Caenorhabditis elegans: one gene and its partner. The protein of the gene in region 1 purifies or fractionates together with the protein of each later gene. This does not show direct contact. Each region holds a gene or a part of one and is shown in the gene's direction. Other genes may lie near its edges.

Region 1 (8,632 bases):
AAAAAATTCAATTTTTCTGGAAAAAAGCGAATTTTCCTTATTTTGAAAGGAACATATGAATACATCGGAAAACAAAATTTCTGTAAAAAGTTATTTAAAAAAATATTTTTTTTTCCAAAAATAAATCAATTTTTCAGGAAAAAAAGCTTATTTTTATTTAAAAACAATTTTTAAAGTAAAATGCATATATCCGAATTAAATCACTTTTTCGTAAAAAAAATCAATTTTCCGAAAAATAATTTTTTAAATCGACATTTCCAACAAAAAAACAATAATTTTGCAATTTTCAGGCTTACGAACAAGGCCGTACTTGGTTGGCCTCCAATGTGAGATCCCTGGCGAACGCAAAAGACACAAAAAGAGCCGATATGCTCGAGGAGCAGGTTAAGCAAGTCGTTGATAAACTCTACAATATGTGGGAAGAGAGAAATAATAATTTCACAGTTGGTGGGTTTTTTCAAAATTTTTTTAATTAAATAAAAAAATTTGGAAAAAAGTTCCAGCAGTAAATCAGGAGCCACGCGGTGATGTCTGGACTCAATTGAAGGGGGTCACTGATTTGACAGCACTGAAAGACGAGCTAACACTGATTGTCAAGGAGAATTTGGACACTCTTATGGGGGTTTGAAGGCTTTTTTCTCAATTAAAAAAACTAATTTTAATTTTAAAAAAATTTCAGATCGCCCAATCTATTGGAGCAATTCTTGCCGTAAATGTGTCAATCTTCTCTTCACTTTTGGTCTCTCTCGCCGGAATTATTTTAAGCTTTGGAATGGATTTGCTCAACACATTTATCGAGATGGTACTGAATAATTTCTCTAGATTATTTGAAAATCGATATAAAGTGAATTTCAGATTGTCTTCCTTACAATGGTATATTATCTTCTCTCGGCTTCTCGTACTCGCTGGCTTCCTCTTCAATGGGCTTCTGATCTCTCAGCAGTCACTACAGCCGATGGCTCGTCAGCAGGAAATCAGCATCATATTACTGTAGCGATAGAACATGCGATTTTGTACGTTTTTAGGCTTAAAAATTTAGAAAATCGACTGTAAAGTCCTGAAAAATAGCTTTTTTACGAACAATTTAAATAATTAAATTTTAGGTTAATCTCTGGGTTTTATCGAATTTTCCGTAGAAAAACCTCCAAAATTGGCCTATTTTCCATGTTTTTGGGGAAAAATTTCAGAAAATTCGGCAAAAATAGTCCCATTTGTATGGGAAAAATGAAGTAATGACTTTGCCCGGGTTTGTTGGAAAATTGAAAAATCCATACATTTTGAGTAGTTTCGCCCCATTTTCTATATTTTAATGGGAATTATTATTTAAAAGTTAATTAAAAAATCCTTTTTTCAGCGGAGTATTCGTTCTTTCTGCAAAAATGGCTGTTTTCTACGGTCTCTACACTTATTTTGTGCACAGTCTTTTCGATTTGAACATTGTATTTGTTCCATCAAGTGAGTTGATTTTAAAATTTAATTAATTTTACTAAGTCCCATTTTTCCAGTGGCTGCCACAGTATTCGCTGCTATTCCAATTATGCCTCCCTACATCGTCGCAATCTTCGGAATCGTCGAACTCTGGCTGGTTCGAGGAGAAGGAGCAGCTGCTCTTGTATTCACAGTCGCTTCATTTGCTCCTGTAATGTTCGCAGATGCTACTTTTTACCGGGAAGTTAAGGGATCTCATCCATATGTGACCGGTTTGGCTATCATTGGTGGAATGTACTGGTTGGGATTGCAGGTTTGTGTATTTAACTTCTTCTACTAAAAAAGTACCTCATTTAAATATATTTTCAGGGCGCAATCATAGGACCAATTGTTCTCTGCCTTTGCCTCGTACTTGTCAACGTTTATCTCCAGCACGTGAAGCCAACAGCTCTGTACACCCCAGCTCCGTCTCCACGAAATGTGAAGCTGCATAATCATTGATTATATTAATCAAAAATATTTTTCGCATTCTTTAGACACTGCCTTTAGTTTGTTTGACCCCTGTATTTTACAAATTTCGGTTCTTGCCATTCCTGGTGAACTTTTGTCTCATAATAAACATGTATTTTTTTTCGGATTTCTGTTTATTTTGCTCATTATGGTAACGTGAAAGCCAATTTAAACTATTTTTCCGTTTCAAAAGCGTTTTATCCTTTTTAGAACTCTAGTTATGATCAAAATCACGAATAAACCACGTAAAAAGTCAAAAGGGACCTCACTATTAAGGTTTTTATGAAAATTCCCAAGATTCTGCTGGAAAAATGAGTTAAATTTGATTGTTGAAGTGAAAAAAAATGTTGCGAATGGCCTTGCGGACTACGGTGGATTTTTCTGTGCATACACCGTCACGTCTGATTGCGTATCGTGGCGAGACCCATCGAACCTCAACGCATGGCTTTTTCCGCTATCCTAAAATTTTTTCACGATTTTCGCCTGATTTTTCACGTTTTTGCGCGATTTTTTGCATAAAATTGATTGAATTTTTAATTTTTAAACGATTAATAGTGCTAATTATCGATTGTAGTTCTTATTCTGCGAGATTTGTCAGAAACTAGGTAGGAAAAGTGGAAAAATGTTCCCAAAATCCAAATTTGTCTATTTCTCAACCAGAATTTCAGTTGTAGGGGGTCCCTCTTGATTTTCAACACAAGGAGTTTAATTATTACCGGTAGATTGTTTAAGCATGCTAGCTCGGGTATGGGTCCGTGGACTTGCAGCCACAAAGAAAAAACCGCAAGTTCTCGTCAAAGATGGACCATCGCTTCAGGATTTTATTTCATCAGGTAAAACTCAAACAATATTGTTTCATAATCAAATAATTATTAATTTTAGCATCCGTGGCAGAGGCTGTTGAGAAGTACGAAGGAAAACTGAAGCTGGAGAAAGGGGACAGACGTTTGCGACTTCCACCATGGCTCAAGAAAGAAAAGGTATAGCCTATCAATTTTTTGCCCCTCATCACAATTGTTTTCAGATTCTTCCATCGGAAAACGAAAATGTCAGTCGTCTAAAAAAGCAGTTGAAACATCTCAAACTAGCGACTGTTTGTCAGGAAGCACGGTGCCCAAATCTTGGAGAATGCTGGGGAGGATCAGATGACAGTCTAGCAACAGCGACAATCATGTTGATGGGAGATACCTGCACTCGGGGTTGTAAATTCTGTTCGGTCAAAACTGCTCGAGCTCCTCCACCATTGGATCCTATGGAACCGGAAAATACGTCGACCGCCGTTGCTTCATGGGGTGTCGAATACATTGTTTTAACATCAGTTGACAGGTAACTTATTCGTATCTTGAGCTTTTAATCAAAGTAATTTTCAGGGATGATTTGCCAGACGGTGGAGCCGATCATCTTCGCAAGACAGTACAGCTGATGAAGCTCAAGAAGCCTGAACTTCTCATCGAATGCTTATTGCCCGATTTCGCTGGAGATAAGATCAGTGTGGAGAAAATGGCTACCAGTGGACTCGATGTATATGCACATAACATTGAAACGGTTGAAAGACTGACTCCATGGGTCAGAGATCCACGAGCTAAATATCGGCAGTCTTTGGACGGTAAGCAGCTTTTTTTTTTTTCAGAATCTCGTAAATATTATTGAATATTTTTTAAGCTCTTCGATACGCAAAGGAAGTCAGCCCAAAGCTAATCACGAAGACATCGATTATGCTAGGACTGGGCGAAGCTGAAGACGAGATAAAGCAGTGCTTGGCCGATCTTCGAGCTAGCAATGTTGACGTTGTCACTTTCGGTCAATACATGCAGCCGACAAAACGTCATTTGCTTGTCAAAGAATGGGTGACCCCCGAGAAATTCGACCAGTGGGCAGAATATTCGAAAAAACTGGGATTCCTTTACGTTGCATCTGGCCCTCTTGTTCGCTCTTCGTACAAAGCCGGAGAATTCTATTTGAAAAATGTGTTGAGAAATAGACAAAATTAAGATTACTGAAATATGTAAATATTAGAAGAATTTGTGCGGGATTCTTGCCAAATAAATTCTCGAAATAGTTTTCATATATTTATTGTTATGCGCGTTCTCTCGCTTCGATTTATCTCTCTTCCTTTACTCTCGTGTATTTCTAAACTTTCCCCTTCTTATCAGTATTTATTTCAGGGTAAACGATGGGTCTGTCGAACAGAGCAATCATCATTGACGGAAAGAACCACCTTCTCGGTCGGTTGGCTTCCATCGTTGCAAAGAAGCTTCTCCAAGGAGACAAGGTTGTCGTCCTCAGAGCTGAAGAGATCGTCATCTCCGGAAACTTCCACCGTTCCAAGCTGAAGTACATGAGCTTCCTCCGCAAGCGTTGTAACATCAACCCAGCCCGTGGAGCCTTCCATTACCGTGCTCCAGGAAAGATCTTCTGGCGTACCGTCAGAGGTGAGTGATTTTAAACATTATCTGTACTTAAATTAATAAATTCTCTATTCAGGAATGCTCCCACACAAGACCAACCGCGGAAACGAGGCTCTCAAGAACCTCCGCGCCTACGAAGGAGTTCCAGCCAAATACCAGAAGACCAAGTCTCTCCATGCCCCATCAGCCAGCAGATTCCGACTTCAACCAAGAAGAAAGTTCTGCGTCGGTGAGTTATTATAATTTTTTTGATCACAACGATTATTTAATTTTCAGTTGGACGCTTATCGCACGAGGTCGGATGGCAATTCCAGGATGTTGTTGCCAAGCTCGAGGCTAAGAGAAAGGTGAAGGGAGCCGCCTACTTCGAACAGAAAAAGAAGATGGACAAGCTCGCCGTTCAAGCAAAGAAGAATGCCGCCCCAAAGATCGCTCAATACCAGAAGATCATCGAGGCTCTTGGATACAATTAAATCCATGCACAAATCTGTTTTGTTTGGTATTATAAAATTGTTGACCATATCACTACTGTTTTTTCAAAACATATTCAGGTTACTTGTTGAGAGTCTTTGTTTCATATTTCTGTCTCACTGCATGTTTTCGAGAGGTCCCACGAAATTTATTTGGAAATTGCCAGTACATTTAAGGGCAGAGAAACTGAAGGTTTTTAATTTTAGATTTTACGGAAAATCGAAAAAACACTATTTTTACTAAAAAATTAAGAGATATTTTTATTAAAACACTGCTAGATCCACTTTATGCCGATCCTCTTCTCGTGGAGCCTCTTCTTTGAATATCATCTTTTATTAATATCAGAGCTACAAAATGGCTACAATCCTTCATAAGCAAGGTTCCGTCGTCGCTGTTTCACACGATATGATGATGGTTCGCTATGATGGAAAAGGTGTTCTTTTTAAGAAGGAATTGCTCACTCGTGGATATAAACATGACGATATAGTTCAATTCAATGCTAGAAAAGCTACAACTGTAAGCTTATTTCCAGGAAAACTTTAATAAAACCCGATGTTTCAGGTAGATATTGAAGTTGGCGATAAGCTATCACAAATGGCAAACTATGAACTCGCTTGGGTTGGCACTGAGCTTAAATTTATCAAACAAGGACGAATGTTGGTTGCTGAGGGTGCAGTTATCAATATTCCCGATGATAAAGCTCAGTATATGTTCGTTGACTGGAAATATACCAAAAATCCGCCAACTCTTGCCAAGGTTTGTGGAAACGTGGAATAACGAGCAATTTTAATACGAAATTAACTATTAAGACTACAAAATTCAGATTCCAGGCTATACTAAGCCTTTGACAACCAATGTATTCGTGACTCGAGCCACTGTTCGTCCTGACGTTGAGAAGTTGACTGAAATGTTTAAGCCGGGCCAACGTGTCAAATTTGTTGCACGAGAGCAAGCGCCGAATGAGAGAGGAGTCTGTTGGAGAGCCGCGTTGGCTACTGATGAATATCATGATATTGCGGTATTGAAATTTTGAGAAAAACGTCAAAAATTTTGTTGAAATTTAAAATTTCGTCAGCTTGTCGTTTTCGCAGTCGTTTTCGAATTCAGTTTTATTGAATTTTCCCTTTTTTTTTAACATTTTTGGGAAGTTTTTCGCTGATTTAGGCGCTTTTTTAGTCGCTGGGCATTCAATTTGCTTAAAATAACTGATAAACAGCCAAAATATGTGATAATTCAAAAAAAAACTATATTCAAGCTGCGGAAATTTCAGATTTTTTCAAAGTTTGGCTCTTTTTTCGCAATTTTTGAGGATTTTCAAACTTTAATCGACTTTATGAAGCATTATTTTCGGAAAGTCTAAAAATTTCCTATTGCACCATATTTTCCCAACATTTTTCTTTAAAAACTAGTGTAAAAATATAGAAATTCACTTGATTTATCTGAAAAAAACGTTGATTTCAGTTGAAACATTTGAAAATGTGCTTCAAAATTAATTGTAAGATGCAAATCACTGATTTGCACTTTCCAGGTAATTTTATAGTACATTTTCAAATTTTTCAACTAAAATCAACGTTATTTTCAGAAAAATCAAGGGATTTTCTATTTTTTCACACTAATTTTTAATGAAAAATGTTGGAAAAACATGGATAGGCAATAGGTAATTTTCTAGAATTTCTGCGGTGTTCAATCGAAAAAAAAATTGGAAAACCCTCAAAAAATGCCAGAAGAAGAGCCAAATTATAGCTAATACGTAGTTATATGTCGAAAAAATTCCGTATTATGGTAAATATCTAATTAATTTATTTTCAGATAGATGTTCCCAACGCTCACGGCCGCCAAACTTATCGAGTAATTCCAAAAGCCGGAGTTTGTCCGCCAGCTCCCCTTCAACAACGTCCTTTAGCTCCTCCAAACCCCCAAGTTCCGTCTACTTCCGCTTGGAACATAGCCCCCACTCCAACTCCAGTCACTGTACAGAGACCTTTGAGAAAACCGGTTACTCCACAACCAGTTAAAAGTGCATTTCAAGCTCAGAAGCCACCACCAATCGATGGATTCGACTATTTTGATAGTTCAAAGGAGGCTTGTGCGGCGAGATTCCGGAACTTTGGTTAGAAATTCGAAATATTATTGGGACGCAGAAAAATTTCCAATTCAATATGAACGCTCCGCCCCGAACAGATGGGTCTCGTTGGGTATTTGGTGGAAAATGCGAAAATTCAAAGATTTTCAATCATTTTTTGTCTTTTTTGTTACATTTTCAGCCGTTTTCAATGATTTCTAAATCTACGCGGTGTGAGAATGTCTCACTGCGGTTTGATCTACGAAAAATGCGGGAATATTTTTCCAGAAAAATTGTGACGTCATCACGCTCTTAATTATGCGAAATCGGATGAGATGTCTGCGCATCTTCTCCCGCATTTTTGGAAGATCAAAGCGTAATGGGACTTTCTGACTCCACGTGAAGTCGAGATGATGGCTTAAAAATATTATTTGTCCAAATAATTATCGATTTTCGGCATAAAACTTATTAAAACCCGCGGAAAATTAAGCAAAAAAGACGAAAAAAATGCTTAAAAACGCTTGAATTTGAGGTCCCACGAAAAATGAGGTGAACGAAAAGGAGATCTGAAAAAAAAATGCAATTTTTCTTCTGCAACGCACGTTGATATTTGAAATTTTTCTTCTGGAAAACTCGCTAAACAACGCGAGATGCGGAATATCGGAGCATCGTTGTATCGTTCTCTTCGAGAAAAAATACGTTTTGTGCGTTTGGCACAATGCCAGATCTCCTTTTGCTAACTCCACTTTTCGTAGATCCCATTTTCGCAGATCCTCTTTCCGTGGGGCCTCTCGAATTTCCGGGTTTGAGGCCCCACGAAAGCGGGAACTGAACGAAAAGGGGAAATGCGAAAAGGGAAAATTGGCACCGTGCCAACGCATAAAACGCTTTTTTTCTCATTCAACGCACGACTTTTTTCGAACTTTTCTTCTAGAAGATACGCTTAACAACACGCGACGCTTAATTTCGGAGCATCGTTGTACCGTTTTCTTCGAGAAAAAGTGCGTTTTATGCGTTGGCACGGTGCCAATTTCCCCTTTTCGTTCAGTTCCCCTTTTCGTGGGGCCTCCCGGGTTTGCCGCCAAATACCTAACGAGATCCAACTGTAAGAGGCGGAGCGTTTGAAATTGGCAGTGGAGCGCGTTTTAAACGTCGATTTCAGAGTGAACCGTGTTCCCATAATATTAACGGTTTCCAATAAAATACTTTAATTTTCAGCAAACACCTACCGTAAGAACAATCCGAATTGCATTTTCTCGCAGCCTTGCTTCGAAGGAGCTCTGAAAATCAAATATCTCAATCAGATACACGAAGAATTGACTGTCATGCGTGAAGGAGAAGTCGATGTTTAATATTTTATCTTTAAAATTATTTATTTTTTTTATTTCGCATCCCACGTGTATATTTTACCGGTATTCAAATCCCCCTCGGGTACGAAATGAATTGAATTTTGTTATTTTTTTTTGTGTTTTTTCCCATTATTTCCTTATTTTCTCCTAAATTATCAGATTTGAGTTCTGGATTATGTATCTGCTTCAATATTTGTCTATTTTACAGATTCTCATATGAAAATAGGTTTTTTTAAAATATTTATCTCAGAAATTCAATTTTTTTCGATTTTTCGATTTAACAAAACCCAAAATGTTGATTAAAATAGCGGAAAAATCGCACTTTTTCTCAAAAAAAAATTGTAAAGAGCTGGAAATATAGCGCAAAAAAATCTATTTAAAAGTTTTATTATAAAAACCGAAAA
Region 2 (2,795 bases), on another chromosome or scaffold:
CGAGAGCATCTCCCATTGCAGCAATGATTGTTATATCTTCAGGAGATATGTTTCCAACATTCGTTCCAGTCAAAAGTTCAGTTTTGATACGAGGACAGGAGAATGTCTTTCTGAAAAAAGCTTCATTTTTATCAATATATTAGTAAAAATAAACCTGTCATTGAATGCAGAGTTGATTACACCAGCCACTGGTTGATGTTTTTCAGGTTTGATGGCGGTCAGAGATTTGAGATGTTGATGATCCACACTGTCTCTTTCTCTGAAATAATAATTGTTTTTGTCATTTTTCATAGAGTTCCAGGAAGACCATCACTCGACCTCATTCAAAAAGCGTTTAATTGGAAGAAACTAATATGGAAAAGAAGATTAAAAAATTAAGTAACTCAACAAAAATAAATAGGATAGTTTGAAATTGGGAGAAGCAGACCATGCGGTTTTAGCATTCTAATTTCAAAAATTGAAAACCCTTCTTCATCTTCGTGTGATGACGTAGCAGTGTCGAAAAATTTGTCATAATCGGCTGATTTTCCCCACATTTTTATAAGTCTGAACTGTCCAAATTTTGTAAATCGCAAGAAGCCGGTGAGAAAAAATGATTTTAAATTAAATGGTCACACCTTTCTTCACTTATATCACTTGAATCATCATCTTCTGAAACTTCTGTACTGTCATTTCCACGCCTTTTTTGTTCTTCTGGAGTTATTTTATCGTCATCACTGCTTCTTCGGCTCGCATAATCGGTCAAATTTTGCGAATTATCCTCATAATCCACCATAAACTTTCCCTCGTCATGGAACTCCCCGCGTAGAATTTTCTGGTCTACATTGGGAACCACAGATCCATGTGCAAAATAAAATAGAAGTAGTAGAAGTAGGTTTAATCGCATTCTGAAAAAATTAAAGTGAAGACAAAATAGTGCTTGCGATAAGGCTAAAGAAGAAGATATTTAAAAGGTAGAATCGTCAAAAGGAGAGAATATAGATCTCCAAACTCTATTATGCTTTATTTGCAGTTCGAAATTGAAAACAATGCTTAAAAAACAAAATTAAATCGACAAGAATTTCAAATAACTAATTATTGTCGAATAAATTCTGGTCGAAACTTCATTTTATGAAAATAATTTGTATTCAGCAGTTGAATACATTTTTTATTTTGAGAATAACATTATTTAAATTAAATTACGAAGCTCCAAAACTTTTTTTTTCACCAATTTCCGTTTATCAGGCCCGAAAAATTGATAAAAATATAAGAATTGCAACCGCGCTCCACCGAATTCTGGCGAACAGCCAACCTGCGCTGAGTAGCGACTCAACAATGATGAACGATACGGAGCTTCGGTTGTCAGTAGAATTTTTACAAAATTTTCCGTTTTTCGCGATTTTTTTCACGGTTTTTCTGGTTTTTTGGTGTTAATACCTGTTTTTAATATAGAAATACTAATTTTTCTTTTCCTACTGTAGAGAAATATGTGAAACTAATGGAAAAATTATCGTAAAAATGTATAAAATGGAAGTTGCATTAATTCAGATTTTATTTAATTAAATTTTACGATATGTAAGTCAGTGCTCTTTTTGATAATTCATGACGAGTTTTCTTCACTTCTCTTCCATATGTTTATTTACTTTCTTTTCAATATCCATATATTGCAACAAAAAAAGTAATCGATTTTTCAGGGTTAAACATGGCTACTCAAGATGATGCCCATCTCGCTGAGCTGAAGAAGAAGAGAACTTTCCGCAAGTTCATGTACAGAGGAGTTGACTTGGACCAACTTTTGGACATGTCCCGGTAATTTTTTAAAACAATATTTTGCCGGCAATGTCTGGTTTTTGGTCATCTCCAAGAACAATTATTTATTTCCAGTGAACAATTCACCAAGCTTCTCCCCTGCCGCATGCGCAGACGTCTCGATCGCGGACTCAAGAGAAAGCACTTGGCTCTCATCGCTAAGGTCCAAAAGGCCAAGAAGGCTGCTGGTGTTCTCGAGAAGCCAGCCACCGTTAAGACCCATCTCCGAGACATGATCATCCTTCCAGAGCTCGTTGGTGGAGTCATCGGAATCTACAACGGAAAGGTTTTCAACCAGGTGAGTCGATTACAATAAATGCGAAAACATTATGATTATTATTATTTTGTTACAGACCGAAATCAAGCCAGAGATGATCGGATTCTATCTCGGAGAGTTCGCTATCTCCTACAAGCCTGTCAAGCACGGAAGACCAGGTATTGGAGCTACCCACTCTTCCCGATTCATCCCACTCAAGTAAAGTTATTTGTTGAACAATAAACTTGTTTCTAAAGTTGATCAAATTATGTTGCTGTCTTTTATACACGGTTGAATAACATCAATTCGAAGAAACGTGATGATTTTATATTAGAATGTGTCGAAATGTCCGCGCGAGTTGAAAGGGTCAGTTGAATATTGGATGCGAATGCCTTTACGGAAGCCCGCACTATCACAAAAATAACCACCCAAATTTTTTGAATTTCTTTTGTATTCCTAATAAAAGTAAACGAATATCGAGAACTTGCTGGCCCTGGATGTCATCGACCAATCTGAATACCGTGATTACCATTCTTCTACACAGCAATACGCTGCTTTTAATGAACAGAATAGTCCGAACACAGAATTGCAATAAAAGGCCATAATTTTAGAAAACGGCTTCTCATTTTTTCTCATCAACATTAAGTGAAAAAATGGATAGATTTTGTTCTTATTTCTCCGAAAGGTATCAAAAATGTTCGACTTGGTGGCAATAAGTTTCCTCGTCACATACTTCGCTGTCTCCCACTTG

What was found. The genes of interacting proteins can lie anywhere in the genome.
Region 2: the proteins of rpl-13A (region 1) and rps-15 fractionate together in Caenorhabditis elegans (co-fractionation; one large-scale study listed by BioGRID). This does not show direct contact.

The regions. Positions count from the first base shown.
Region 1 is NC_003281.10:3,499,076-3,507,707, reverse strand, and holds rpl-13A (Large ribosomal subunit protein uL13), read left to right. Parts: upstream 1-4,103; 5' UTR 4,104-4,111; coding exon 4,112-4,370; intron 4,371-4,422; coding exon 4,423-4,575; intron 4,576-4,622; coding exon 4,623-4,819; 3' UTR 4,820-4,867; downstream 4,868-8,632. Other genes in the region: M01F1.4 (Transmembrane protein 245), read left to right, coding at 291-447, 504-622, 680-802, 856-1,013, 1,355-1,455, 1,506-1,741, 1,798-1,929; lias-1 (Lipoyl synthase, mitochondrial), read left to right, coding at 2,672-2,771, 2,821-2,918, 2,963-3,264, 3,309-3,544, 3,601-3,929; M01F1.8 (VWFD domain-containing protein), read left to right, coding at 5,172-5,333, 5,379-5,573, 5,641-5,835, 6,627-6,927, 8,098-8,231.
Region 2 is NC_003279.8:8,815,072-8,817,866, reverse strand, and holds rps-15 (Small ribosomal subunit protein uS19), read left to right. Parts: upstream 1-1,673; 5' UTR 1,674-1,681; coding exon 1,682-1,788; intron 1,789-1,863; coding exon 1,864-2,086; intron 2,087-2,141; coding exon 2,142-2,267; 3' UTR 2,268-2,295; downstream 2,296-2,795. Other genes in the region: F36A2.9 (Lipase_GDSL domain-containing protein), read right to left, coding at 1-110, 155-259, 618-886. UniProt on the Caenorhabditis elegans protein: Negatively regulates lifespan.